Arabidopsis thaliana: one gene and its partners. The protein of the gene in region 4 interacts with the protein of the main gene of each other region in a pairwise test. Each region holds a gene or a part of one and is shown on either strand. Other genes may lie near its edges.

Evidence for each region.
Region 1: the proteins of AT5G37890 (region 4) and NAP5 interact in a protein complementation assay, tested with the Arabidopsis thaliana proteins (one large-scale study listed by BioGRID).
Region 2: the proteins of AT5G37890 (region 4) and UEV1D-4 interact in a two-hybrid assay, tested with the Arabidopsis thaliana proteins (one large-scale study listed by BioGRID).
Region 3: the proteins of AT5G37890 (region 4) and UBC36 interact in a two-hybrid assay, tested with the Arabidopsis thaliana proteins (one large-scale study listed by BioGRID).

Annotation. Positions count from the first base shown.
Region 1 is NC_003070.9:26,881,934-26,888,736, reverse strand, and holds NAP5 (non-intrinsic ABC protein 5), read left to right. Parts: upstream 1-3,567; coding exon 3,568-3,798; intron 3,799-3,894; coding exon 3,895-3,981; intron 3,982-4,066; coding exon 4,067-4,723; downstream 4,724-6,803. Other genes in the region: AT1G71350 (eukaryotic translation initiation factor SUI1 family protein), read left to right, coding at 91-212; GDPD4 (PLC-like phosphodiesterases superfamily protein), read left to right, coding at 1,416-1,682, 1,769-1,866, 1,971-2,031, 2,122-2,202, 2,304-2,396, 2,643-2,732, 2,806-2,933, 3,013-3,181; AT1G71320 (F-box family protein), read right to left, coding at 4,919-5,550, 5,664-5,900, 5,943-6,252.
Region 2 is NC_003074.8:19,492,449-19,499,809, reverse strand, and holds UEV1D-4 (ubiquitin E2 variant 1D-4), read left to right. Parts: upstream 1-3,714; 5' UTR 3,715-3,855; coding exon 3,856-3,889; exon of another isoform or gene 3,890-3,912; intron 3,913-4,401; coding exon 4,402-4,541; coding exon of another isoform or gene 4,542-4,544; intron 4,545-4,727; coding exon 4,728-4,907; intron 4,908-4,991; coding exon 4,992-5,132; 3' UTR 5,133-5,433; downstream 5,434-7,361. Other genes in the region: AT3G52561 (uncharacterized protein), read left to right, coding at 2,323-2,622; AT3G52550 (transcription repressor OFP15-like protein), read left to right, coding at 6,898-7,361. UniProt on the Arabidopsis thaliana protein: Has no ubiquitin ligase activity on its own. The heterodimer with UBC catalyzes the synthesis of non-canonical poly-ubiquitin chains that are linked through 'Lys-63'. This type of poly-ubiquitination does not lead to protein degradation by the proteasome.
Region 3 is NC_003070.9:5,774,638-5,782,627, reverse strand, and holds UBC36 (ubiquitin-conjugating enzyme 36), read left to right. Parts: upstream 1-4,143; 5' UTR 4,144-4,300; coding exon 4,301-4,336; exon of another isoform or gene 4,337-4,538; coding exon 4,539-4,593; intron 4,594-4,689; coding exon 4,690-4,776; intron 4,777-4,799; exon of another isoform or gene 4,800-5,155; coding exon 5,156-5,214; exon of another isoform or gene 5,215-5,507; coding exon 5,508-5,549; intron 5,550-5,661; coding exon 5,662-5,735; intron 5,736-5,843; coding exon 5,844-5,941; intron 5,942-6,040; coding exon 6,041-6,078; 3' UTR 6,079-6,451; downstream 6,452-7,990. Other genes in the region: AT1G16905 (Curculin-like (mannose-binding) lectin family protein), read left to right, coding at 1-82; EBS3 (Alg9-like mannosyltransferase family), read left to right, coding at 325-605, 899-986, 1,077-1,236, 1,450-1,667, 1,801-2,096, 2,244-2,355, 2,456-2,594, 2,767-2,963 and 2 more; ACR11 (uridylyltransferase-like protein), read right to left, coding at 6,503-6,565, 6,647-6,715, 6,819-6,924, 7,033-7,088, 7,419-7,478, 7,575-7,659, 7,801-7,895. UniProt on the Arabidopsis thaliana protein: Catalyzes the synthesis of non-canonical poly-ubiquitin chains that are linked through 'Lys-63'. This type of poly-ubiquitination does not lead to protein degradation by the proteasome. Mediates transcriptional activation of target genes.
Region 4 is NC_003076.8:15,087,276-15,095,172, forward strand, and holds AT5G37890 (Protein with RING/U-box and TRAF-like domain), read right to left. Parts: upstream 4,681-7,897; 5' UTR 4,548-4,680; coding exon 4,356-4,547; intron 3,906-4,355; coding exon 3,237-3,905; 3' UTR 2,403-3,236; downstream 1-2,402. Other genes in the region: AT5G37900 (TRAF-like superfamily protein), read right to left, coding at 6,628-7,209, 7,384-7,527. UniProt on the Arabidopsis thaliana protein: E3 ubiquitin-protein ligase that mediates ubiquitination and subsequent proteasomal degradation of target proteins.

The DNA of each region.
Region 1 (6,803 bases), on a different chromosome or scaffold from region 4:
GTTTAAAATCTATCCTTTTTGTTTTGTTCAGCTGTGTAAGTGAATTAACTATTTGAGAGATGATTGATTGTTTTGTGTGTTTGCTTTCAGGTAAGAAAGGGTACGAGGTTCTGATTCAAGGAGGTGTGATTGATAACCTTGCGAGATATATGGTGGAACACTATGGAGTTCCAAAGAGATACATCGAAGTTCTTGATAAGACTAGAAAGTGAATGGTTTTTTCTATTTCATTTTTTTTTTGTGTGTTTTAATCTTCTAATTTTATTTGATACGTACACTCTGTGACTCTAGAGATGTGGAACAAATGAGAATAAAATTGTTTTGTTATTAGTTTTTTTTTTAATATAACAAAAAAATTAAAGAAAATAATTTATAGTTTGATGGACTTTCTCTCTTTTGTGCAGTTGAGAAAATAAAAGGACTTTCTCTCTCTTCTCTCTCTAGATCTTTTAGAGAGAGGAAGTTTCTGATGCTCAAACTTGGCTCCGACAATAGCCAGCTTTTTTAGTGGTGTTGGTTGGCTTCCTTCTGGCGTCGTTAGCTCCTTTAGCAACGTCGGCTAGCTTTTCTCCGACATCGGTGGTTTCTTTAGCACCGTTGGTCGGCTTCGTTCTTCAAATTTAGTTTTTGCCTTTCAACCTTGTTCGATTCTATTTTGCTTCGGTTTTAATTGGTTTTGATTTCTCTTTCTCTTCATTTCGATCTAAATTTGTAATTTTTCGATCCTCCCTTCTTTAAGGGGCTTAATTTGTTCTTCAAGCTTATTGAGTTTTCATTTTAAAAGATCAAATTTTTAGTTACGGATTGAAGTTTAATTTAGTGTCTTTTGTTTGATTTTGATGAAATTAGAGCTGTTGTTTGTCTTTCTTGTTGCCGATGCTTGTTGAATCGTTTGGGTTTATGTTGTTTTTCCTTTAAATGGCAGAAGTCGAAGTCGATAGTTTGTGAGCTATTTCTTTCTTGAAGGTTTTAAATTTTACAGTCATTGTCACAGAAGATTTGTCAATTGTCTCATCGGATTTGTAGCTGCTTCCGATTTGGCGTTTACAGCAATTCCGGTGAACTTAAGTTTTTTGTGGTTATGATTCTCCACCTGCGACATTCTGCAACTCATCATTTTCTGTTTCCACGTGTCCTCTTTACCGTGTCTCTAGTGCCATGTGGGCTTTGACTTATTAGCACATTAGCTTTCTCTTCTTCAGAAGGTGGTCTTTGGGCTTTTGTCCGTTTATGGCCTGTTATATGGCTTTGTAAAATATGGCTTGTTAAAAGGCTTTGTAATATAAATAATAAAACAGTTGTGACAAAAAAAAAAAAATATATAGTTTGATGGTGATTGGTGAACTTCTTTTTTTTCCAAGATTGCAGTAAACGTCGTCTTTAGCTCCAAAAACAACCTTTGTCTTGTTCAGCTAATGGCGATTTTTGAATGGCGGCACAGAAGACGGCCATTCGACGGCGGAGGAACTCGTCGCCGTCGTTTCTTCAGCCCATTGTATTCGAGAAATTTCAAGAGAACGATTCTCTTCGCTGTGATTTTCTTAGCTATCTTCCCTCCTCTCTACTTCCATTTCAAGCTCCGACGAATTCGTCAGATTGTCGCGCAAAAGTGCGATTGGCTTCACCATCCTCCACTTGTCTGTGCTCACGGCGGCGATTCCACCCTCGCTTTCCCAAACACTGTACGTACACTCTCGATCTCTTCTTCTTCACACTCTTGCTACTAACCTTTTTAAACCTTAATCTCTTGGACTCTTCTCAATCGTAGATGGACGCTTACAGTTTCGCTATACGTTCTCGAGTTGATTGCATTGAAGTCGATGTTTCTCGTTCCTCCGATGGTGTTTTATTCGCTCTTCACAACAGGTTACAGACTCTGATCCTTGTTGTATCATCTTCTTCTAATGTTTCTGTGTTTGGATTCTCATCGGTGTTCTTCTTATTCATCTTCTGATCACACGCACAGTCAGGGATCTGCAGCGTATTGCTCGTAACTCTTCTGTTCAAGTTGGAGATCTGAGTATGAAACAGGTCTCATCTCTCCCTCTCTCTCTTTACCAGCTTTTGGGATATGCTTTTTTGCATCCATTTTTCATAAACCTTTTGATGATCTTTTTGCAGATCAAGGAACTCGATGTCTCGGAGATTGTTAAAGGAACCTTGGGAAGTAGTAGGATTCCTACTCTTGAAGAGGCTTTAGCGGTAATGCCTGTTTTTTTAATTACTATCTTGTCATTGCTTTGCTTTGTAATTTCTGCTTAGTAACAAGTGGCTGAAGCTAGTTTTGATCTTGAATCATCTAGTTGATATCGAATTCAGTCCGGAAAGTGATCCTTGATGCCAAAGTTGGACCGCCAATGTATGAAAAGGGGTTAGCACAAGACATCCTTTCTATTGTAAGTACTATGTTTTTGTTAGCTCTTGTACTTGTAAAGCTTTAGTACAATGTGCTCGAGATTTATAAACATGTTTTGATTCCTTAATAGCGTTGCTTAATCATTTATTTCCTGGTATCTTTGTACACAAAGCTAGAACAGCTTACTATAGATACTTGAAAAAACAAGAGTATGGATAAATTGTTGATGTTTCAATGGTGGTATTTCTGGCTTTGCTCACATGAATCGCCAATCCTCTGTTGTTAGATTGAGAGAGCGCAGTGCAATAATTGCATCGTATGGGCCAAAAGCGACACTTTGGCTAGGGACATAATTAGACGAGCACCAGATACTATGGTAAACAGAAATGGATTGTCTTGTGAGGATCAGATAGAGAAGTTTCTTGCTCATTTCCTAGTGATTTTGGCAGGTGGGATACATTGTGATGGTAGATCCTTTGACTGGGGCGAGAAACAGCCTGCTGAGAATGAAGGGAGCTAGGGTTGTGGGAGTTTATCATCCCTTGATCGATGAAGAATTAGTTAGAGTTGTCCGTCGGTAAGCAATCGATTTCAATGTTTTCAAATAAAAACACACCTGCTCATGTGTTTACAACCTTGCTCGATCTGATCAACAGGAGAAACAAAGAGGTGTATGCATGGACTGTGGATGATGCTGATCCCATGAAAAGGATGCTTCACTTAGGTGTGGATGCTGTTGTGACGAGCGATCCATCTATGTTTCAGGGTCTCATGGAAGATCTTAGAACTGAGTGTCTTGAAGAAGGTTTTTCAATACGGACGTGAGAATTTCTTTTTCGAGCATTCTTAATGACTGTAATACCAACTCAGAAGTTTTTGGCAAAGATCTTTCTTTATGTTGTTTTGCTGATCCACAAGTTTTTGACAACTACACACTACGACGCCTTGATACACAGTAAGACGAGTCTTTCTCAAGAAAAGCAAAGTATGGCCGGTTCTTGATGAAGCCATTGCTTCTATCGATACAGCTACTGATAATCTGATCCAGGAGACTCTGAGGCAACACTTTTCGGACTGCACAGTGAAAACAATCTCACACAGATATCTTCTTTTATACATAACGATATGAGCCTGCTCCTAGAACAAGGTCTAATACACTTGTATTTAAGTTTAAATAATCAGATGACTGATATTAAGTCTGTTTATATAATATGGATAGAGAACGATATGATAAGGTGATTGAAGCATGTTCTTTGAGTAAAGATCTGGAGATACTTTCATTCGGTGATCAGACCGTCATTGGAGAACGCGGCATCAATTTGAGTGGTGGACAAAAGCAAAGAATACATATTGCACGCGCTCTCTACCAAGATGCGGACATCTATCTGTTTGATGATCCTTTTAGTGCTGTCGATGCACACACAGGGTCACATCTCTTTAAGGTACAATCTTCTTACTTAGCCATTAGTGTGATTGTGATTTCTCCTTCCGTAAACAATCATGTATCAAATTTATTTTCATTCTCATACTTTTTTCAGGAAGCTCTACGAGGGCTTTTATGTTCTAAATCGGTTATATATGTAACCCATCAAGTTGAGTTCTTACCTTCTGCTGATCTTACACTGGTATGTGAATAGTTCACTGTCTTTTATCATTTTCTACAGCACTGAGAATATGAAATCATCCATAACCGATTTTCTTATGCCTCAGGTCATGAAAGATGGGAGAATCAGCCAAGCTGGAAAATATAATGATATCCTCATCTCTGGAACAGATTTCAGGGAGCTTATAGGTGCGCATCAAGAGTCTCTGGCAGTAGTTGGGTCGGCTGATGCCAGTTCTGTTTCTGAAAACTCAGCTTTAGACGAAGAAAATGGTGTTGTGAGAGATGATATTGGTTTCGACGGGAAACAAGAAAGTCAAGATCTGAAGAACGATAAATTAGATTCTGGGGAGCCCCAAAGACAATTTGTTCAAGAGGAAGAGAGGGCGAAAGGTAGCGTCGCTTTGGATGTATACTGGAAATATATCACACTGGCATACGGAGGAGCTCTTGTGCCTTTCATATTGTTGGGGCAAATTCTCTTTCAGCTTCTACAGATTGGAAGTAACTACTGGATGGCTTGGGCTACTCCTATTTCTGAGGATGTGCAAGCTCCTGTGAAACTTTCTACGTTAATGGTTGTGTATGTTGCTTTGGCATTTGGAAGTTCCCTCTGCATTCTTGTTAGAGCCACGCTTCTTGTCACGGCTGGTTACAAGACTGCTACTGAACTGTTTCATAAAATGCATCACTGCATTTTCCGTTCTCCAATGTCTTTTAAAATTGCAAAAACTTGTTCAAAAACTTGTATATATTCATCATAACTATATCCAAATATGTATTATATTGACAGAAAGAAAGAAAACAAGAGAAAATAAAACATAAAAATAATCCATAATGTCAAATAAAGAAATTACAATATACTTAAAATAAATAAATATCTAAACATCTTTTTTTTAAAAATATTCTTTTTAACTTACATATAATATTGTTAAAAATTGAAAGTATAATTAACAACATCAAAGCATCAAATTTGAAGGAGAAATCATTGTTGGCAAATACGAAATCGTTCTTTGTCTAAAAAAAGAAACTTGATCTTGACGATTTCTGATATTTGAAAAATAGGCAGCCGCTAGACCAAGCATCCAAAACTTTTCATGTAATTGGTTGGTTCTTATAACGTCAATCTTAATAGAATATATTTTCTCCCATTTTTCGGTAGGATATTCTTGGTGTAAACTCCAAACGACCAAATTTGAACTTTCTAGCACATCCGATAGGCACAAACGTTCATTCAGATTCCACATTTCTATATTAGTAGCATATTTGGTGTCACACTCTGGTAATAATATCCATCGAAATTCTTCAGTGTGAAGATCGATAGCTAATAGCTGGTAAGATGTTTGACTAAGCTTCTTTAATGTCAACCAAAAGAGGGATCCGTTGGCGTAGACTGATGTTTGCTCATCGCAGAAGATACAATGATGTATGTCATAAAACCCTACGTCTCTTTGCTCACCATTATCAAGGGATAGGACCTTGGCCTTGAACTCATGATCATGTATTTCATATCTTGTATATATCAAAACCACCTTATAAGATTTTTTAACAATATCTTTGCCAAATCCAGCAAGAGACGGCATTCTCTTCACTAATCCACCTTGACGAAAAATTTTTTTTTGATAAATAGGTATATAACATATTACTATGTGAAAGTTAAAATTCAACTCTATAATCAACCATAGAACAAGAAAGTTGACAAACCAGATATGTCATAATCCAATACTGATTGAGAAAGTTGTCTCCATGGTTTATTGGCCATTGCGGGGGTTAAGTAACTAAGAGTAAATGGCCATTGCATAAATTCGGGAGAAAGTTTCATGTGTTCTTTAGTCGTCGGATTGATCAAGTAAATGGACCTGAAATCGTCATGGATCCGAAGCAAGACCAATCCATCACAAGACCCCAATACTTGAATAGTTTTATTTTGAGATTCGTCGACTGGATCACCAGAAAAAGTGTAGTAACTAGAAGAAGAAAGACAAGTTTTTCTGTTGTTTTGATCATCTCTAGAAAAAGTCTCCAAAAGAAAAGTTATTGAGTTTGAATATTCTTCAACAAAATTCGCTGTAAAGTGTTGACTAATATGAAGAAATTTCATATTAGGGGTTGGTAAGCCTGTACGAATGAGTCGTTTGTGGGAAAAGTAGGTTGATTCGATCATCGATGTCCATTTTTTTGATAAGACTTTGAATCTAGCCAGTGATTTTATTGGAAGATGGTGAAAGATCCCTTCAGCTATATCATCTGGTATAAATATTGTCTTGGGATTATTATGTTTATCATTCTCCATTCTTTTCCTACGATGATGATTCTTGGAGTAGATTTGTGTATCTCTATATATAAAGAAAATAATGATCTAATGTTGGATTTTTAACTTTAGATTTAACATTAACTGTGGCGAAAAATATATAACACTATTAATTTATATTAGAATAATAAAGAGCAAATAAATAAACATGTATTTGTTTATGCTATAAATAATAAATGTTGATTAATATATGTTTATATTATTCCTAAAAATAATGAAAATAAATTAAGACAATTTATGATTAAATATGCTTTCATTTAATTTTCTTTAGCAATTAATCCCTTAGAATTAATTCTTTGATAGATTTTAAAATTTCATCTACAAATTCTTGAAAAAGGTTTGGTATCTACTTTTTTAATCCTAATTAACTAGATTAGAACATGTCCGATGTGCAATAGACCGTGGTATATAACGATGCATGTATCATCCATTCTTTAACAATTAATCACCTTCAACAATGCAACACTCTAAAGTCTTAACACTCTAAAAAAGATTTAACACTAATAATTTAGTTTACAATTATGAATTAGAAA
Region 2 (7,361 bases), on a different chromosome or scaffold from region 4:
TTATTTTCTGCTAAAACAACATATTCCTAGCTTTTTTATATTCTTATAATCTTGTGAAGCAAATTCAAAAATTAAAGAGGCCACTTTCACAAATCATCCCAGTTTAGGCTGTTGTATAATTGCCATTAAAGTTTTGAAACCCTGTTGCATAACTGTCGTTAAATTTTTTAGTCTATAAATCATTTTAAATTTGATTGTCCTCTTAATTGTGAAACATTTAATACACGAGAGATTCCTAAGTTATTAACAGCTATATTATGTCCTCGTGAGGTCTGTATTTTAGTTATTGGCCTCTTGTATTAAATTCTAGTAACTGTTTGTTTCATTTTTTTTAATTTGTTACTCTTTCGTTTGCTATTCAAAGTTCTAAAATTCAAACGTTATCCCTCTAGCTTCTCAAATAATATATATAGGAGATTTTATATAATTATGAAAATTCTACTTCAAATGACGGTTTAAAACGCAAGTTACAAACGTCTGTTTAATTGATCATAATAAACATTTTGAGAGTACTAATCAATAAATCATACTCATATCCAGTTACTTTCCATTGTTCAAATGAAAATCAATGGCTATCTTGATCGTAACAATTTAGAAAAATGAAAGTTATGCAAATATGTGAAACATTAAAAGTACAGTAATAAAGTTTATTGTACCATAACCTTTCGTCCAAATAATTTCCTGTTTTAAAATAAAAAGACAGGAAATTAAAGTCAAGTAATTTAACTACCATCATTAGATTAATCAAAGGAAATGTTTTTTTTAAAAACATTAATGGATATCCTTTTATTCTTCTAAATTATTGCTAAACATTTTGTGATAATTTTTACAATGACTAGTGAATCTGGTAGTTAGAAACATCTTAATGGTTTTCACCTTTGAATATCCAATTTAACTACCAGCAAGCACTACTTACATACATCTATCTACATCTTTCATTCTTTTATATTGTCAAAATTTGTCACCACCAAAAACATTGATTTATATTCAAAATTTGGAAAGTAACTCAAAGTAGTTGAGTTTTGTGGGTACCTTCAGAATGTCCATTTGATTATCAATCAAAAAGAAGTTTTTAGCTGGCGCATGAAACCGTCGTTGGAAACTTTGAAACGGATGCTTCACTGTATAAACGTACTATTATTATTTAATTTTTAATAACGAAAAGTAAATTGTAGATGAATTCTTTTTATTTGATTCATTTTTAGTTAGTGCTAGCCATTATTTCTATCTTTAACTATATTCAAAATTGTTTTTTCATACTATAAACTATTATTAGACCATTTTCTTGAATGAACCATACTTTCTAGACACTATTTCTAAAATGACTATAAATCACACCATGTAGTTCTATATTTGTATTATTGTAGTTTATTGATTTAACATTGAAAATTTAATAAATTATACAATTAAAAAATTAATAGGTTTTAATACGTGTAAAATTATAAAACAAAATTTATAATGAAACAGAGAGAATAGTAAAAACATTTATGAGAAAAATATGTATTGGTGTCACTAAAGTTATTTTAGACATATTTTCATTCAAGAAATCAGTTGAATAATAGTCTTACTGTGACAAACAATTTAATAGATAAAACATTGAGTAGTATTAACTAATAAATGAATCAAACAAACAAAGTCTAATTGATAAAATACGCCATATAAATAAACTATAAGTTTCTTTAAAATATACATTAAATATACAAAACGACAAATTTATGAAACAAAAAAGTGAAGTCATAAGATTAAAACTATTGTGAAATGGATGACAAATTCAGTTTCTTCTTTATTCTTTAAACCCTAAGTTTAAATTCTTTCAAACACAAATCGTAGTATTTGTAAAACTGTTATTTTCTTGAAATATAATTTAACGTTACATTAACAAATCAAATGGATGACATATTACTTAAAATTTAGATTACCAATAAAAAATCATAAATTCTTCTTTTAAATTGTAAGATTTAAGTCTTCCCCTTTACATTTAGCAATAAATAGTTTGCTGCACTGGTTTAAATGCACTAATGCATTGTTTACTGAATTGTCTTTTGTTTCATATATTTGTCTCTACTATACTTTTACTAACTTTCCCACCTCCAATTAAAAAAATTATTACGAAATAAACAAAGTCATATCTCTCTCCACAACATAATTACTTTATTCAACAAATATTAATTCCTAGTCATATTTTAGCTCCTCTTCTTCCTTATATATTACATACATACATTTTCTTTAGAAGTCATTACCATCAACCCATCCCCTAGAAAAACACAGAGAAAAACAAATACAAGAATACAAAAACCCTCTCGACGAAACCGAAGTATCGAAATGAGAAACAAGAATGGTAAAAGAGGTAGCGTTGAGCCCTCGGCGAGGACCGTGGCGTCGGTGGTTGCTAATGGGAGGTTTGAAGGAAGATCACCATCGAGCGACACATCATCATCACAAAACTCGTGCCTGACGAGGACGGAGGAAGTGAAGGAGGAGGTTGCATCGTCGTGGGTTGATGAAGAAGAGGCGCCGGAGATGGTGGTGATGGGATGTCGAAGTTGTATGATGTATGTTATGGTCTTACAAGAACGTCAACGTTGCCCCAAGTGCAAATGCACCGACTTGATCTTCTTTTAGAGAATTTGTTTTAAGTTATTATTCAATTTGGACTTTTGAGTTTGAGATGATGAATTTAATTTTCTTTGTAAAGTCCTCTATATAAATCATATTGTTTAAATTATAATCTCTATTTTAATATGTTAAATTGACAGACAGATCATTTCTGTTTGTGGCCGTCCCTCTTGGTTCATTTTGTTAAGTTGTCCATTTTCATGTTTTAGTACTATGGAAGCCAATGACATGAACGAGGATGGATTTTCATCGGAGTTGAATTCGATTGTTTCAAACGCTAGTTATGGCGTTTGCGTTTATATTTATTTATTTGTATACTCCAGAGAAACATAGTTTTTCAATGTAAATGAAAAACGCCAAAAAAAATAGAAAGTTTATTTTTAAAAATTACAAAATATAAATTTAAACACAAGTAAAAAAATCGACACGTCTCGAATTAGGGTCTTAAGAATCAAATTGGTAGTATGCTAATAATGGTATTGCTTTGGTTTCATCGGCATTCAATCCGATGAAATTTTCAATAATTAAGGTTAAAAGTTGTATCTTCATCAATTAAAACGTTATTTATTCAAAACAATTCACCATCAAATTCAATAAAATTTAAGAACTTTTACAAACTTCAAATATTAAATTATTTAAGAAAATATTTTTAAACCTAAATTTAGTGAAAAAGTAGCAACTAAAATTTGTTTTAATGTATTTTATGACATTTTTCTATTTATAAGTACTAAATTTTCAAAAATCTAATAAATAATTAATTTCTGTTTTTCATATATATTAAGGCACATGCGACGACATATATACGTGACAACATTTTATCCTAAAGTTTTAACATGATTTTTGAAAAAGAAATTTACATTTTACGATAATTTAGTTGCAAATCAAGCGAGTTTTAATATTTCAATAATTTTCATGTATATAGAAATTTTGCATTGCTAGTTAAAATAATAACAAATAGATGTTGTCAAAACTCGAAAATAAAAGGGGTGTTTCTGTAGTTATCATAATTTAAGGAATTATATGATAGAAAAACAAATTTGGGCGGTAAATTTGAAAAAAATAACTTTTTCCAGTCTCCCCAAAAGTACCCGATTTGCCAAATTTGACCCTCCCATTTTAGCTTTCTGTCTATTCACCAGATTCTCTCTATTCGATTCTCCCTTTACTTCTTCTCGTCTCTCTTCTCTGCTCGTCAGATCTCAAAATCAATCGGATATCGAAACCACAACTTCATCAATTATGACTCTTGGCTCAGGAGGATCTAGCGTTGTTGGTATAAAATTTCGATTCTTTCGGGTTTGTTCTCGTTTTTTGATTTTGATTCTAGGGTTTTGGAATAATCCCTCGTTTGTTTTTTTTTCTCTAGGGTTTTGGTGAATTCTTCTTTTGGTTTTATTCGTTTTGATCAATAGGTGTTGAGATTTCTCATAGGTTCTATCGATCTAGTATAAAAAATTGTAGCTTTGTCTAAATTGTTCGCATATAGCTTGATCTGAATCAATCAATTTTAACAAATCGCTGAGAATGATTTGCTGATGTCTCAATTCCTGAGATGGGTTTAAAATGCTATTCCTGAGTTTCTTATTGTTTCTAAGACCTTAGCTAGGAATGTTTTCATCTTCTCTATAGCTCATTGTTAACTTTGTTGAGTGTTATCTTATTTTAGTCTTTGTGGATAATGATTAATATGATATGTTCTGTTCTCTGCTTTGATTAAAAAAAGTGATTGCTTGTTTTCATTTACTGATATGAATTGTTTTTGTTACGCTTGTTATTGCAATATAGTTCCGAGGAATTTTCGGTTGTTGGAGGAGCTTGAACGTGGGGAGAAAGGTATTGGGGATGGAACTGTGAGCTATGGAATGGATGATGGAGATGACATCTATATGCGTTCTTGGACTGGCACCATCATCGGTCCTCACAACGTAGTTATATCTTTTTCTTTATCTGCTAACATTCTCCTTCGTCTTCATATATGTTAACAATTGTTTTGAGAAGCATAGATTAATATTATTTGCATCTCATTGCTTGGAATACAGAACATCAAAACCACATTGTTTTCTAGGCATTGATCTTATCGACATACAATCTCTTAAGCTTTATTTGAGCAGATTATGCCATTGTTGCTTTTGCTTGTAGTAACAGAGATAAATTTTATGTCACAGACTGTTCATGAAGGTAGAATCTATCAGTTGAAGCTCTTTTGTGACAAAGATTACCCGGAGAAACCTCCAACTGTCCGATTCCATTCACGTGTCAACATGGCTTGTGTCAACCACGAAACAGGAGTGGTACGTATAAACTCACCACCGCCCTTCCTTTCTCTGTTTTGTTTCTTTGGATGCTCTGTAATTTTTTTATGCGTATGTGTATAGGTGGATCCTAAGAAATTTGGGCTACTTGCAAACTGGCAAAGAGAGTACACAATGGAGGATATACTGGTACAGTTGAAGAAGGAAATGTCTACGTCGCATAACCGTAAGCTTGTTCAACCTCCGGAAGGTACTTGCTTCTAGTTACTTCTGGAATCTTCTTCTGGTTTGCTAGAAAATCATTGCCCCTTCTAATACCAAAGTATGTATCTGGGGGTCCTCCATTGTCGTTCTCAACGCTTTTTTTTTTTTAATTCATCAAAAAATGGTCTGTGTGGATGGTATGGTGATGATGATGATGTTGTCCGATTGATCATCTGAAGTTTTATCATTGTGTGCAAATATCAAAAACAGCTTCTCTTCCTCACTCCATGTGTTCAATCTTTTGAATTTAACATTTTGTGTCAGCCCTTTTTTTATATATAAATGAAATCTGCTATATTTAATTGGTTATTTGTTATGTAATACACCAAGGTTAAAACAAGAAAGTATCATAAAAAATCATGAATCTTTGTAATCCGAACTAATGGAAAAAGAAGCCATGAACAGCTTCGTAACCCTTATTTTTGTTTCTGTGATTCATCTAAAGCCAATGCTTACGGTGATTAATAGAACCTTTGAAAACTAAGTGTTACTTTTTTCTACAATTAGCACACTTCTTATTGATGATGATGCACGTCGATTTGCATGTACTTCTTGATGTTCCGCGTCGTCGTTCTTGACATAGAAACAATCATTCTTCGACATGTAGACTTCTACTTTTAGGACACTGTTTAACTTGCTTGTAAGTTGATTACGAGTGGTCTTAACCATAAACGGACTCCATGAAAGTTGATTACGAGTGGTCTTGGAAAATCAACTTATTAAATAAATGAAAAAAGTGGTTGAACGTAATTAAACCTATAACACATTTACACATTGCTCAGAAGCTCAATTAATTTATGTTTCATCAGATTTCAAGCCCAAACATTAACACTCATGGTTGGATTGATCCAGCCTGGATCTTATGGTGATAAATGTTATCTCTGTAGTTTTTTTTTCTTTTTTTCCTTTTTATTGTAAAATTTCGTTTTTAGAATGGAGAAGAAGAAAATAATTTTTCTTTCACAATATACTTATATGATATAGTTAGAGATTATAAAATGCGTTTAGTATAGATATATTTGACATTCGGTTGCATGATGACAAAATAAACAATAAATAAATGTGGTGGTGTCCTAATTAAGAACTTTGGATCCAAACAACAACTTATAAGTGGGTGAAATAATTATATACATATAGTCGAAAGCAAGTACATTTTAATTTACTATAATAGAAACATTACATATTTACATGTACATTAGCAACATATAGAAATATGCTTAAATTGATATTGGAAAATTAGATTCCACGAAATGTAGTGCTATGTGAAAACTTGCGTTTCAAACTTTGCATTATGTTTAGGATATATACGCATAATCACAAGCCAGTTTTCTTAAGTGAAGTTGTCAACTAATAAATATGGTGACACCGTGAAATTAAAAGTGGAAGATATATTGTTACATCCATATTTTAACATTTGAGTGTCGAGTAGCTTTAAAGGAACATTAAAAAGAATATAAATTGTGATAGGTACGGTTATTATTATGTTTACCAGAATTAGACGGACCGCAGACGAATGGGACAAATTGTTGTTATGGTTGATAGATAAATATGTACGACCAAACTTATAAGTAAAATTATGGATCAGCATGTAATACGGTCAATGATGTTTTCTAAACCCTTGTTTACTTTTAATCAAAGTTATACTTTTAGGTTCAACAATAAATACTAAGTTTCTCATTTTGTATTTATACTCCCCTAAGTATATTTCTCATTTTGAATCCACCCAAAAAATAAAACGATAGCAAACAACAAAGGTGGAAAAATTATGAAAGTCCCATTTTTAAACAAGAGTTTTTCATCTTCATGTTATTCAAATTCAAATTCATCATCATGGGGATGGCCTTCTTGTCACCAAAACCCTAGAACTCAATCTTTCAGAATCACCATCAGCACAATCAACCCTTATGACGCCGAAGATGAAGAGGAGGAGGAGGATAAGGAAGAGAAGGAGAAGGAAAAAAGGGAGAATGAAAAGGAAGAGGAGGAGGAGGAAAATTCGCTTCCTGGCATCATGATTCCTACATCATCATCCTCCATCTCATCCACCATCGACACCATAGAAGAGGTGCCGGAGACCGAGTCCATAGAGAATGTGATCAAAGGGATAAAATCATCAGAAAGACTCATCTTTGAACGTAAAGGAGAATCAAACTCTATTCTTGAAGAGATGAGGAACAAGGATTCATGCACTTGTCCTTGGAATCCATCCACACTTTCTCTAATTTCAAG
Region 3 (7,990 bases), on a different chromosome or scaffold from region 4:
TTGGATTAGTTATGAGCTTGGGACTTTAGTCAAAGTGTCTGATTCCAGAAAAGTGGCTTATATCAAAACTCCTAATGTGTGATCAGTAACGTGTAGAAAAGGCAAAAAACATAATGGGCTTAAAGTACTAATAAGCCCATTATATGTACGACTTAATAAAGGCCTTTTTATCTATGTAATAAGCCTCTAATTCGATGAGATACTTTTCACAAATCTTTTTCTTCATTGCTTCGTCGAGAAGAGAATGAACAATGAAGTGAACTAATAAAACTTCCATTTGCAATTTCACGACCTCCATTTTCGTGCTGAGATTCTCTAAGCTCGATGGATCTAACGACGACGCGTCAGAGGCGTCCACTTATATCTGACTCTTCTTCTTCGTCTTCTACGAAATCTTACTCGAAGACCGATAAACCTGGCCGATCTAATGGCGGTGATGCGGAGGATGGTGGTCTCCGATGGTTCTTGCCGTTTATAGCGCTTTGTTATCTTCGTTACATGAGCGCGACTTCTAATATCATTCATGACTGCGATGAAGTGTTCAATTACTGGGAGCCTCTTCATTATATTCTCTACAAGTCCGGATTTCAGACCTGGGAATACAGGTTTGCTTTTCCGCTACATTTGATTATGTTACTACTGAGCTAAAGACCCGATGTTAGCTCGAGTGAGCATGTACTTTGAGCTGTGATTCTATACTTATGTATCGGTGACTACTGATTCTCAACATTTTGTTTCAATTTGAAATCAGAAATGTGAGGTTGGGATTTGGTTTTAGTGGAACTTCGGTTTCAACGGAATCTTTATTAGGTTATCGAGCTTTGTTTTATATGAAGATATAATCATGAGATTGATTACTTTTTTTTTTTTTGTGTGTGTGTGTGTGTGTATTTTGCAGTTCCAACTTTGCTCTTCGGTCGTACTTATACATTCTATTCCATGAATTGGCTGGACGGCCTGCTTCTTGGTGGTTTGGTGATGACAAGGTAAGCAATGCATACTTACTGATGTACATTCTAATCGGTATAGATATAACTGCATGTTTCTTATCCAGTTTACGTCTATCTTTTGGATAGGTTAGAGTTTTCTATGCAGTGAGACTCTTTCTCGGACTGGTTTCTGCAGTTTCAGATACTGTCCTGGTTGTTGCGCTCTCCAGAAAGTATGGGAAACGTATCGCTACCTATGCAGTTGCGATGCTCTGCTTAACCAGTGGCTGCTTCTTTGCTAGTACCAGTGAGTGTTTTGTTTTGTTTTGATTTGTTGTTACACTTGCTTAAGCTTTCTGTCATATTTCCTTAATATGCATATATAGGCTTTCCAAGTTATTCTTGCATCCGATAGGTTTTAGTTTCAAATGCTTGTATAAGTTATTCCAAAGACATTGCTCTGAATTTGGCTTTGTGTTCTGGTTTCTTACTAATTCATGTTTCTCTAAAATTTTGATAGGTTTCCTCCCCAGTTCATTTTCTATGTACGCCATAAGCCTCTCATCTGGTTTATTACTTTTCGAGAAGTATGCCATGGCTGTTGCAGTTTCGGTTGTCGGGGTGATTCTTGGCTGGCCATTTTCTATCTTGGCCTTTTTACCTGTCGTTATTTACTCTCTGGTTAAGAGATTCAAGCAAGCATTTATCGCTGGTGCAGTCACCACTATATTTCTCCTTGTAAGCTAACACCAATCCTAGATGCTTTGTCTGTGTGAATTTTATGGGAATTATTGGATCTCGCTGACTTTCATTAGCACCTGTAACTTTAAATTACTATTTTCTCTTCTAATTAGTTTTGTCTCTTTTCTAGGGAGTCTCACTACTTGTGGATTACTATTATTACAAGAGATGGACATCATCAGTTTTGAATCTCTTGATATACAATGTGTTAGGGGGTGGAGAGAGCCATCTCTATGGGACTGAAGGAGCGTTATTTTATATAAGAAATGGATTTAACAACTTCAACTTCTGTTTCATTTTGGCAATGTTGTTTGTCGCAATATATCCTGTTATCAGAAGGAAGTATGACCGTGCCCTGCTGGTTGTGATTTCCCCGATGTATATTTGGCTGGCGTTCATGTCACTTCAGCCCCACAAAGAAGAAAGGTGATTTTCTAAGATCTTTCATCTTGTAATTTTTTGAGCATTCGTATGGTGGCTTCTATATCGTTGAGGAAACCAGTTTTATGATACTTTTACAAAATCACGGTATTCAACAAACAATGTTTTTGATTGTCAATTAATTGACTGCAGGTTCCTTTATCCTATATACCCTCTTATTTGTGTCTCTGCTTCTGCTGTTATTGAGAACATCCCTGAGCTGTTCCGGGAAAAGTATAGCTCACGTGAAAGTCTTCTGGTGACAGTAAGTTCCAACTTACAATATCTCAGTCTCTGATTTATACCTTTCCGCAAATTGAAAAGAAGTAGATTGTACGATTCTCACATATCTGTTTAATACGCAGATAACCAAATACATGCGACCTGTGATTCTTGGTTGTATCTTATGTGCTTCACATTCTCGCACATTTGCTCTTATTAATGGCTATTCCGCTCCCTTGGAGGTCTACAAACTACTGGAGCATCATGATGATGCAGGACCAGGTATATCCAATTCGAACTGAACTTCTTGATCATTATAATGCTAAGACGAGTGAAGATCACATCTCACTTTTACTTCAAGAATAGTAATTTGCCATTGGAAAAAGGGTAACAAAGTCCTTTTGACAAAAGTTTTCTAATCACTGATGACTTCTTGGTTGGTTTTGTATGTCAGGTTCTGTTCTATGTGTGGGAAGTGAATGGCATCGATACCCATCATCGTTTTTTGTGCCCCACTACATTAGCGAAGTACGGTGGATCGATGATGGATTCCGCGGTCTTCTTCCATTCCCATTTAACAATACACTTGGAGGCACTTCAGCATCACCTCCATACTTCAACAACAAGAACCAAGCATCCGAAGAACAATATGTAATACTCACACACTCTTCTCTCATGAAACCTTCAAAATATCTCTAAACATAAACTTAATCATGGCTTGTTTACTCGTTCCATTTTTTCCAGTTAAAGAACATCGAAACTTGTACATTCCTCATTGAGTTGCAGCTTAGCAGACCGTATCAGTATCGAGGCAGCGACTTATCTACATGGGAGGTATAGGAATCAAACCATCTTCCTGAAACAGAATCCATCTTTGATTTCACTTCACTTCTTCAATTGGTTGTTTTGACCCTTTTTTCAGGCTATTGCGGTGTTGCCTTATTTGGACAGAGAGCTGTCGCCAGCTAAGTATAGATCGTTCTTCATCCCGCACATGTGGCAGGAGAAAAATGTGTTTGGCAAATACGTAGCACTGAGAAGAGTCCCAAAATGATCACAAATCGTTAAAACTCCTTAGACTTGTAGCTTTAACTCAGTTCATTGGGTAGTTTTGGGAGAATGTAATAACTAATAACTGATTAGTATCGGCTTTAAGTTCAGGTACGTTCACGGTTCGTAGTTGTGTTGTTGTGAAAGAGACTAGTTTTAACTTTGTAAGAAATCTCCAAATGGTCAGAAGAACGTGGAAGATTATGTTTATGACATTATTGTGCAAAGTCTATATTCTTTTTGTCTTTTGATATTGCGGATTCCAATTTTGGCTATCGAGAAAAAGGGAGAAAATGAGAAGACTATGGAGGGCACTTCATAATTCATATTTCTGTCCTCTTTAAGTTAGCGTTTGACCAACGCGTCGTAAAAAGGTACAGAAGAAGAACGCAATAGAATTGAAGATAATGAACTAAAAAAGTTGTGTATATATATTGTAAAAGATTATCTTTGAAGAAAAGAATAACCTAAACAAGGTATTAATTTTTCTAAAAATTTGATCGAGTCATCGAGATCATGGTAGGTATATTGACGTTTGTAATAATGTTGTCACTATGTTACCACCAGACTAATAAATAGTGCATGTCGTTTACAAAACTAAGAAAAGATTATTTTCTTAGTAGTTTTCAATCATGGTTAAAAAAGTATTTGAATATGGAAATTATTCTTAAAAAAATTGAATATGAATATGGAAGAGAACTTACAGAAAATTATTTACTAAATGTATTCCTTACATATTTCATGTAATTATATATTTTTACTAGCATAAAAGCATCAATTTATTTCCGTAAAGGAAAAAAAGAAAGAATTAAAAGGATCAAAGGGGCACGAAACTAGAGACGACGAAGCGTACTCGATTATTATCAGCCTTTGGTAGCTTCGTTCTCTCTCAAAAACCCTAACTTCTCTGTGACGATCGAATCCGATAGCGTGCGATAATGGCCAATAGTAATCTTCCCCGACGAATCATCAAGGTTAGTTTTCCGATCCTCTGTAGCATCCTCCGATCCGTATCTCCCCTCAGTTTCATTTTGGGGAATTCTAATCTGAAATCCGAAGAAGGAACCGACGGATTATATACCTCAGCAGAACTGGGAAGAATTTTCGATAGCTTGTACGATCTTATATCATCTTCGTCATCTTGATCTGACTTTTTTTTGTTCTTCGATCTGATAGGAAACTCAACGTCTGCTTAGTGAACCTGGTAATTTCATCACTTCATTCGATCCTTGTTGATTTCTCACAGTTGATTTTAGCTCAAACAGTTGGTTTTGGTAGCTGGAACTATTGATTTTAATTCTAAGTTGTATATCTTTCGAAATTGCAGCTCCTGGGATAAGTGCGTCTCCATCAGAGGAAAATATGAGATATTTCAATGTTATGATTCTTGGTCCTACTCAATCTCCTTATGAAGGTAGTCAAATTGTTTTAATCTCCCAAAGATGCTCATCGTTACTTCTTCCTTTTTCTTCTTTAATGCATGCTGCTCAACGATTTATCGTTATCGTTTCTGCTGCAAGTAGTGACTCTGCTCTGTCTCTATATTTGTTTATACAAACGGATATGTTCGTTTAGGTACTACTAGGTCTCATAGATTGCTCATGTTCGGATTGTAGTGTTATGAATAACGATGAGTCTTTAAGCTACCTTTGAGTTCATTTCGACACATTTTATTTGTTCTAGAATACACAATGCCAAGTCGAATTTCCAGAATCAAGTCTGCTGTTTTATCTATCATCATATTTCTGTTAATTGATGTTTACCAATAATTTTGTTTCCTTCTCAATCTGTAGGAGGAGTTTTCAAGTTGGAGCTCTTTTTGCCTGAAGAATATCCTATGGCAGCTCCCAAGGTAAGTTGCTTCAACTTTTGTGTGTTTTTCTTCTTTCATTTCATGTTTCACTTGTTTTGGTAACATTAGGATTACCCCACATAACATTGTTAAGTGGAGGTAAATGCTCTTTAAGTGAATGTCTCTCTACTCTTAACACTAGGATTTTATTTATGGGTTTATGAGATTGGTGATTTTGGTTTTGTTATGACTACTCCGAATGTATTTTCTTATATTATATTAGACAACGTATCCAAGTTTCTTCATTGATGTAGAGTTTATGGGTCTTATTGATGATATCATTTGAAACACAGGTTAGGTTTCTCACCAAGATTTACCATCCTAACATCGACAAGGTCTGTTGTGAAAAATTTCCTTTTCTTCTCTTACTGTCAAGATAACTAACCAAACACATGGTCTTTTATACTTATGGATCATGTTTTGTTTGCACTTATCATGTATATATAGCTTGGAAGAATCTGCCTTGACATACTGAAAGACAAGTGGAGTCCTGCACTACAAATACGAACTGTGCTCTTGAGGTATGAATATATCCATAGAATCTTCTTTCCCTACTAAATCCAAAATATTGTAGAAATTAAGATTTAATTATTCACACTTTCTGATTTTCCATTGCCGTGTAAAAACAGTATCCAAGCTCTTTTAAGTGCACCAAACCCAGATGATCCTCTGTCTGAGAACATAGCTAAGCATTGGAAGAGCAATGAGGCAGAAGCTGTGGAAACAGGTGATAAAATACGATCGAAAAACTCAAAAAAGTTGCAACAAAAACTTTATTCCTCTCCTCTCTAATCTGGTAATCTCATATCAATGTGAACTTATGCAGCTAAGGAATGGACTCGTCTTTACGCAAGTGGTGCTTAAAGAAGACTGCAAATGGAGAAAGATCATTGTCATTTAAATAACATTATATATGGTGAAACTCTATCTCAAGGTTTTATCTGAATCCTTTTTCTGAAAACAGAGGAAAAAGATTTGTACTCTCTGAATTTGTATAACTAGGGGGATCTAAGACTCGTTTACCCATATCTGGAATCTAACTTTCTTCAATTGTGCTTGCTTTTGATCTTTGTTTTTGTTATATATGCTCTATAATAATCTTTATAAAGTGGTGTAGATAATCAGATTTTCACAGGTTGTGAATCAAAGTAAATTGGATGAATGATGCATAATGTTACTATTACAGGTGTATGAAGCAGCTTATTTTGGTCAAATGTAAAAAAAAAAAAAAGTGGTAAAAATAGTAGTCACGAGGAATGAGACTTGAGATTTTGAAAAATGGGCATAATCAGAAACTTGACTCGTCAGTTGATGGACGCCTCAAGAAGTACCTCAGACTATTAGCAAGGACCTACAAATACAAAATTTGATTTCATTTCAGTAAAAACATTTCAACTTATCAAAGAGAAAAGTCTAATTTCAGAATTTTAACCTGCTGGAGAGGCTTGATTAGGGCTTTGTTCCTGTAGCTTACATGAAACTTCACCTTAGCCAACAAACCCTTTTTGTTTCACATACAACAAGAAGAAGCAACATGAGAAACAGAGCGATATTATAGCGGAGGGTATATGTTTTAGACATTAAAAAACAGGATTATTAGATACCTCGGTGTCGAATTCTCCAGATTCAACAGCGACGCTGATATCTGAAATGATCTTCACCAGCTCAACTAATAGTCCAGGTCTATCCGCTGATTCTATGAAGAGTAAACTGCATCATCAACAAATAATTATGGATCAATGATCAGATCATATATCATAAGAATAAAAGCATTTGGATAAGGTTCTAGAGTTGAGATAAGGTATGGGTATACATTACCTGCGGTCTGGTCCATCATCTTCAATGGTTATATGTGTTGCTATGTCCACGTCAATCTGTCAACATCCCAATCCAAAATACAGAAGAAGGAAAATGAATTTTGAAGCTACTTTGAAGTTGCGTGGGTATTCCCTTCTTCATCAAAGTGATTAATACTATAATGAAGTTTAATACTTGTACTCTACATTGACCCGCCAAATCCAAATATGTTGATTATTAGTTAAGTCTTTGTTTTCTCTATTATTGTTTCTTATCTGTACGTGACCGAGGAAACGACAAGCAGTCTTGACCTTTATGTTCGAGGATGCTAACTACTTGAAGAATTAGTGCAATACAAAAGAAGTGGATAAGGTTATAAAAAGAGCATCACAGTTTAAGGTTTTTACCGGTTCAGTTGGAGGAAGAACACCAAAAGCTGCTCCCATTGCCAACTGAGAACTTGATTCCTGATCCAAATCATCGAGAAGCAATGTGTGAGTTAAAAAATTATGCAAGATATAGGAAAAATAGAAAGAGAGGATATTAGGATGTGAAGTAGTTACAGGATGAAACTCAAGCAGATTGTTTATGACTGTGAGACGAATGGCCTCAAGCAATTCAGGGTCTTCTACTTTTCTTCCACTATCTCTGTTGTAACAACAATTACAGTCAGCTCAAAACTCAATCTAAAGTCAACTATTTGACAGAGTCAATCGATTCAAAGCAACATTAACTATCTAAACGACTCTTGGAGCTCAAAATACTCTTTGATGATATGAAAAGACATACGCTCTAGTAATGGCAAATTTGTTGTGCTTGCCGGAAGAATCAAGGTAAACATTTGCCTTGACGACATTCAATCCCAAGTTTTTGAGCGCATTCATCTAGAAGGGCAAAGTTGATCAGATCAAGAAGCAGTCAAAAAAGCAGGAAAGGAAGTAAGAAGCTTTTGTGAATGTTGGTCGATTATGCAGAGCTA
Region 4 (7,897 bases):
ATTTTAAAATACAATTAAACAATTAGAGTATAATGTAACAACTTACAACAATAATCTAACACACGTATACAATTACCAAATAAAAGTCAATAAATTATATGAGATATATCATGGTTTTTACTGATTTCTAACATAGTATTAGAATGGTTTTTATAGTCTTTCTAATCTTTTTTGTATCTTTTTTAGTCATTACAGGTGCATATCTACTTTTAAGAGCTATGAAGCATAATAAGGAATTTTGGAAGCTTTTCAGGAAAAGAAGACAAGCAGAAACATTATTCATACGTTGGTGTCGATCGACACCACGTCAGTATCGATCGACACCACGTCAGTACCGATCGACACCCTTATCGACAAGGATATTTCTCACGTATCATAAAGTCTTTAAGAAGTCTAGAAATTTTTCTTATTTGTAAAATAGACCCTGCACGTTTTTACTAACCTATATTATATATATACTAGATATTAACCCGCGGTACCACGGGTGGATATGTTCATTAAAAAATTATAGATAATTTTTTTAAAAATTATTAATTGTATATAAATAATATATTCTTAACACATAATTTTTATTTATGTAAAGCTTCGATAATTCATTTTTATGTTCTCATATTTGTTAGTTAATTATGAAAATTCAATATTTATTTTTATGGTTTGGGTTTTTTAGAGGTAATAAAGATTTAAAACTTGTATTATTATTATTATTATTTTTTAACTTGTATTATTTAGAGATTGACCCGCGGTACATCCAGGGTTGAAATATTTCTTAGAAAATTAGATATTTTATTTTTATTAATATTGTTTATATATATAACATATTCAAGAGGTACATCAAACGTCTATATTTTTATTAAATTAAAAATATTATTATTGTTTTTAGGATGATCTATAGATACATGCTATTGTCTTTTATGTATGATAGTATGATACACCTCTGTATGATTTTTATAACTATTTTTTTTTAGTGTTTAAAATTGTATAATTGTATCATTCCGTATTAATATCGATCCAAACCTATCCCACCATATAACCTCGTCCCGTGAAATTAAACATCATTTTATCATTTTTTTATGAAGTTCGAATAATTATAATATTAGAAACTTCAAAAAAGTTTTAATATGGACCAAACTTCATAATTGTATATTGATTGTTACATATAGGATTTCACCCGTAATATATCGTTCAATATTAATATATTTTTAGTATTTATAATATTTTAACTTCTTATAAAGTTCAAATATTTACAAAATTTACAACTTCATAAAATTTTAAAATTTTTAAATCATTAATATTAAATTTATTTTATAGTTATTAACTTTTAAATTTTCTTAAGAAATTGTAATACTTAACTTTTAATAAATTTTAAATATATATAATATTTTAAAACTTTAAAACTTTTACTTATTTAAAATAAAGAACCGGAGTAAACCGAACAATACTTTTAATTTTGGATGTTTGATATATCAAGGTTCCTTCTCATTCGTATTCAGAATCACTTAAATATTTTTTATAGTATGACTCTTAACGATGTCCCAAATTTTTAAGCAATGTGGGACCTTTAAAACTTTTTTTTTTATCGATGGAGTATTATATGTCTGTTTTAAAAAATTTGAATTTTATCGGATGCAAAAAAATCTAATATTTTATTAAATATATGTATTTTATATATAAACTAAAATAGCTATATATAAAAACAAAGATAATGACAGAAAAATTATATATTTATATTTAATGTTGATATATAGATTTTAGGAAATTAGCCTTAATCGAATATAGTTCAATAAAAAAAAATTTAGTTAAGGATAAAAAATTAGGAAGAGTTGATTCAACTAATTAATGCAATTCAACTAATTGTAAGTTTTTAGTTATAAAGTATTTGATTGAGATTAAATTTGTAAGGACTAATATTGAAAATAGTAAATAGGTGAGGGATTTTTGGTCAAAAACCTTAGCAAAAATATATACATGTAAATATTTTAAGATTATTGTTTAGACCTAAGCAAGTTTTGTGTGAGAGATATACTTTTGGAGAGAAGAATCATATCACTAGCAGAAAAAGAAAAATATTTAACTTAATCTGCGTTGTAGACTTGTCGTATTTTCCTTGTTTAATTTTAAAGTAATAACAAATACTATCATGTATTGTATTGTACACTATTATTTTACAGTTGTCCAACGTGAAGTCACGATATGTTCTTGTTCCTAGATGGGATTCGAAGTCTTGCTTCTTCAAACTTCCAATCGTTAGAAACAAGATCCGGAAAATCCGAAGTCTTGATAATTGAACAGCTCTCCGAAATCAATAATGAACGACTTTCTTTAACAAAAAAACAAAAAGAAAAAAAAAATAATGAACGACTTTTTTATAACAAAGAATATAAAAAAGCTTTCAACTAAAACAAAAGAAAGCTTAGTTGTATTCACAAGTTTTTATATTAAATGGCTGGCTAATATATATATGCAAGGGGAGAAGGAGAAGAAGAATATCACAAAAATCGATCCAAATCTCCATATTAGCAGCCATGAGTTCAATGGGTGTATTTTGTAAGGAGGAAATTGGTGGAAAACCGAATTTGGTATACACATTAACACAAACAGACAACCCAACCTCTTCTGGTGAGGCCCTAACCATGGATTCTGGTGAGGACGATCTCCCTCTTCAACCTCTTTTTTTCTGTCCTATGGGATATAATTATATGTCCATGTATACTTTCTTAATTATATCATCCTCCATATATATATATATTTAACTAACCTTTTTTATAATTCATGATATATACTTGATCTTGCTAAATTATACACACTTTTCAAGAACTACAACTCCAAAACTGAACATATTTTGTAGAACTTCGCTAGAATCCTCAAATCCTCAAAACAAAACTAGTTTTTGTAACTTTTAGAATCTAGTAAAAGGGCAAGTTTCCAACTTCGTTGTTCCTAATACAGAGTTTATAACAAGAAACACCAAAACCTGGAAGAATTTTAGTTATCAAGAAATAAGAATCAGAAAGATGGAAAAATCTTCTTGGAAGACAGGAATCGTCAATGCTTCATAGCAAATGGCCTATGCATAAATTATATCTTAGTTTAGATTGAAAACATTGTGAAACGTTTTGTTGGTCGATTGCACCAAGTCTCTAAAATTACAACCCTCATCAACCATAACGACTATGGGCGGGTTAAGATAACTAAAACGAGACAGATAAGAGTTTTCTAACAGGAAGACCCCAACCTTCTTACTCTTTGTTCAACTTCTTGACGCTAATCCTCATTTCCAACACATCACCACGCAATAAACTGTTGGGAATCAACATGAAATTCTCTTGCGGGGTTTGAAAACTCAACTTAAGAACCCTCTTCACCTCTGGTGATTGGTAAATCACAGTGTGTCCATCGACAGTGTAAGAGAGAGCATATGAGTACTGACTTAATTCTGGAGAAGATGGCGCAATGCAGCTTACAGTTACATACACACCATACGGCTCCCTGAAACACTGCACTGCAAACAAATGATTCGTCAAGTGTTCCGTTCTAATCAATATCTTTTTGCTGATGTTCATCCGGACACTTAAGGGAATGTCACAAATGAACGTATTAATCTGGTTTATTTCCATATGGGTAATACGATAGTGAGTGTACAGATCCTTGTATGAGCTAGTGTAATTGCAATCCAATGCAGGGCAGGCGCAATGAGAGAACATGCATTCCTTTTCATGAGTTAACTCTTTCCCATAAGATACATTCTTTTTGCAACCTAACTTGGCGTTCGGACACGGGATCAAGATCGATTCAAGAACACTCTCCATTGCTCTGCAGCGATTGTGGCCAACAGGCGAAGTACACGCAGGGCATTTGTTATTTAGTTTGGGACAGCAAGAAGAACAAGCCAAATGTCCATTATCACACTGAAATTCAAAACCAATAACTTGTGATCAAAAGCTATAACAACGTCGAGATAATATTCATCGAATCGACCAAGGATAATAGTTCTCTCCCCAAATGATTCTCCCATATAATTCATGATATAGACAAGTTATACACATATTTTCAATAACTATATACAACTGCATACATGAACATAACTTACTAAAGTTCACTAGAATTCTATAAAATCATCACAAGCTAAAGCTTAAGGACACTCTTGAAATCTAGTAACTAGTAAATGGGCACAATTCCAACTTCTTCTCTCTGCAATTTCTTTAACATAACTTTCAAAAGTTCACTAGAATCCTCAAAAGCTAAGGCTACTCTTAGAATCAAGTAAATGGCCACAGTTCCAACTATGTTCAGAGTTCTAACCAAAACAGAAACTTTCTGAAAAATACGAAATGATTCAATTTGAGAAATTACGAAACCTGGAAGATGGGAATTGTGAAAGCTTCGTAGCAAATGGGACAATCGAGAATCTCCAGATCCATTAGCATTGTCGAGCGTTTCTTAGCGTCTCTCTTAGCTGCATCACTAGAAGAAAGTTGTCTCTTTTGCGAGAGAATGCTGTTAGATCCAATTCCTTCGCCGGGAGATTCCAAAATCGCGGCACCAACCATGTCGGAGAGATGACTAAACCCTAAATTCGCTTTTAGTCTTCTCGAAAACTGAGAGAGGCAAATAGAGAATTTAGTTGATTTTGTTCATTGATGGATGGTTTTACAGAGAAAGGAGACAATGGCACAAACTATAGATGATATGGGCTTCGATAGTTCTTCAATTCCCAATTAAGGCCCATATAATATATAAACAATACCTTTTTTTGATAAACTTATAAACAATATCTAATTTTTAAGTCTATTAATATTTACAATATAAAAGAATATAATTATATATATAAAACCATTTAAAAATTAATATTAGTCTTAAAGTTTATGTATTTTTTAATTCTTCAATTCCCAATTAAGGCCCATATAATATATAACAGAAACAATGTCTAAATTTTACAAAATACAATAATAATTATTTATTTAGTCTTAATAGTTTATGTATTTTTTGCTACATTAATTAATAAGCTAATTTTTATTTTTAAAAGTTATGTAGCTTTTATTTATTTTTTTGTCAAAAATGTGGTTTTGAAGTTGGGATTTGGGGCAATCACAAACCACTAGACTAATTTTACCTTGGAAGATTGATAAAAATAGCAAAAAAAAACAATTTCTTCAAAAATAGCAGCTCATTTGAATAGTTCCAAAATTACACTCAAAACTTTAATTAATTATTAAATATTTAATATAAATAACTAATTTAATTAAATAAATAAAATTAAATATTTCTCGCCAAAGATTTTTGTCAAAATTTTCTCACAAAAAAAAATCCGTCAAATGTTTCCCATAAAAAAAATTTAGGAAAGATTATTATACGAAATTTGGGAAGGATTTCACGGAATTCATAAAAGATTTCACAAAAAAATCTTTCCTAAAACTCTTCCTGAATTTTGTAGAATCTTTCTTAAATTCAGGAAATGATTCTTTGAAAGATTCCACGACATAGATGTCACTCCATTCAGTATCAGAGTCCTGACCTCTTTTCTTCAGGTAATTTCTAAATTTAATATATCATAGTGTTGACCTCTATTCCTCAAGTAATTTTCAAATTAAATGTTTAAAAATTCTTTTGATTTTTGGTGGTAGACTGCTAAGATTAAAGAGTCCGATATCTACATGATGAAGATAATGGAGTGCTATACAATGTAAGCTAGTAATTCAAACCTTGAGGAAAATATTATTGGAAACGCAAGGAAAAAATCGGCGGTTGATTCACAGAATTAACAGATATATAGGTTAGTATATGCTTAAACCAATATAATTTCAATAACCATATCGTTTGCAGAATTAACAATTTATGAGTTATATAGTTCATTTTTTTTGAATAGGGTCAATTACTATGCAGAAGTAGCAGATTGCTAATAAAAAAAAAGTTTGTGTTAGCATATTCATAGAGCATTCACCCAAATGATGAATTTGTGTACTTTTTGAATTTTTTTAATTGTTAATTTTAATAATTAAAAATAAAATAATTATTTGAATGCTATTTTGTCCAAAAAATGTTTGAGTGCTATTTTTTTCCAAAAACTTGAAATGGTGCTATTTATGGAAATTTCTATTTTAACTTTTGCTATTATTTTTTCTGCTAAAGATTTAAGAATTTTGGTATTAGCTTTTATATTCTTAACTAATATGTAAAATTGCAGTTAAAACTACCATATTGGAATTCTTTAATCATTGAATCACAATTCACAACTAAATTTTTTCTTCTGCTTTTAGACATCACACGTTCGTACGTTTACTTATAATTAGATTTCGACTAAGAGTAGAATAAAAGATGGAGACCATAATCATGACAAACGAAAGAGCACGCATTACTCCAATTTGGTCATGCATAAAGTATAGCTTAGAAGTTATTAGATTAAAAAACTGTGAAATGTTTTGTTGGTCGATTCCATCAAAATTTCCATTATCACTCTAAATGCACAAAAACGTGTTAAGCAATACCAAACAAATTGCATCAAAGCTGAATCAAGCCGTTAAGCAATTACATCGGATCTTAGTTCGTCAAAACTTATATAAATGTCAGACGAGATAGAGAGAGTAAAAAAATGACATTCCTTCCTTCTAGTTCTATATCACCTCAACATTCTTACTCTTGGTTCGACGTTTCGACGATAGAAAGCTTAATATCCAACAATTCACTACGCAATAAATTGTGAGGTATCAACATGAAATTCTCTTGAGGTGTTTCAAAACTCACTTTACGAACCCTCTTCATTTGTGGTGATCTGTAAACCATAGTGTGTTCATCCACAGTGTAGGAGATTTGATATGAGAACTGTCCAACTTCTGGAGCAGATGGTGCAATGCAGCTTACGGTTACATACACACCACACGACTCCCTAAAACACTGCACTGCAAACAATATTTTCTTCTCATATACCCTTGTAATTTGTATCTTATCGCTGATAAGCATCGGGGCCTTATATGGAATGCTAGATCTAAAGCAGTTAGTGGTCCAGTATGAGTTCGAGATGTGAGTCAGTTTATAGTGATCATAGAGATCCTCGTATCGGCCGGAGTACTCACAGTCCAATGAAGGGCATGAGCATAGAGAGAAAATGCATTCTTCTTCATGAGTTGATTTTTTCCCATATAAGAAACTCTCGGTGCAACCAAACATGTCGTTTGGGCATGTGACCAATATCGATTCAAGAATATTCTCCATTGGCTGATAAAGAAAGCACAAGCAGGGCATTTGTTCCTCAGTTTGGGACAGCAAGAAGAGCATGCTAAATGTCCATTCTCACACTGACATACAAAAAAAAAAACACTGTAAAAATTTCAAGAAAAAAAATATGTATTAAAAGCTGGAAAAAAACAATTTTTAGACAAGAAACAAAACCTGGAAGATAGGACACGTCAATCCTTCACAGCAAATAGGACAATCGAGGATATCAAGATCTAGCAATGTCGCCGAGCGTTGTCTCTTAGCCACTCTCTCCCCTCCATGACCTTGAGATATCAAAGCTTCTAAGGCTCCCACCATGTCACCTAGATATCAATAGTAAAAATATTATCATATTTTCATTAATCAAACAATTTTAAAACATCCTCGACTGATGAAGGCAGAAGAGTTTGTTCGAAACTTTTATAAGACTTCCGTACCAAAAAAAGTAAAAAAAAAAAAGAGTGTTTAAACGCCAACTTTTTAAATCTCAAAACACAAGTCTGATATCTCTTAAACAACGATGGATAGATCTATTTGTAGAAGACAACTTTTAATACATCTCTTAGGAGTGGTAAACACAAATCCAAACTAACTAAGGAAAAGGAAACTAACCAGAAAAAGGAAATCTTGTTAAATACCTTAGAGCTTGAAAACCAAAAACGCAAGGGAAAGCTAGAAGAACACGTGT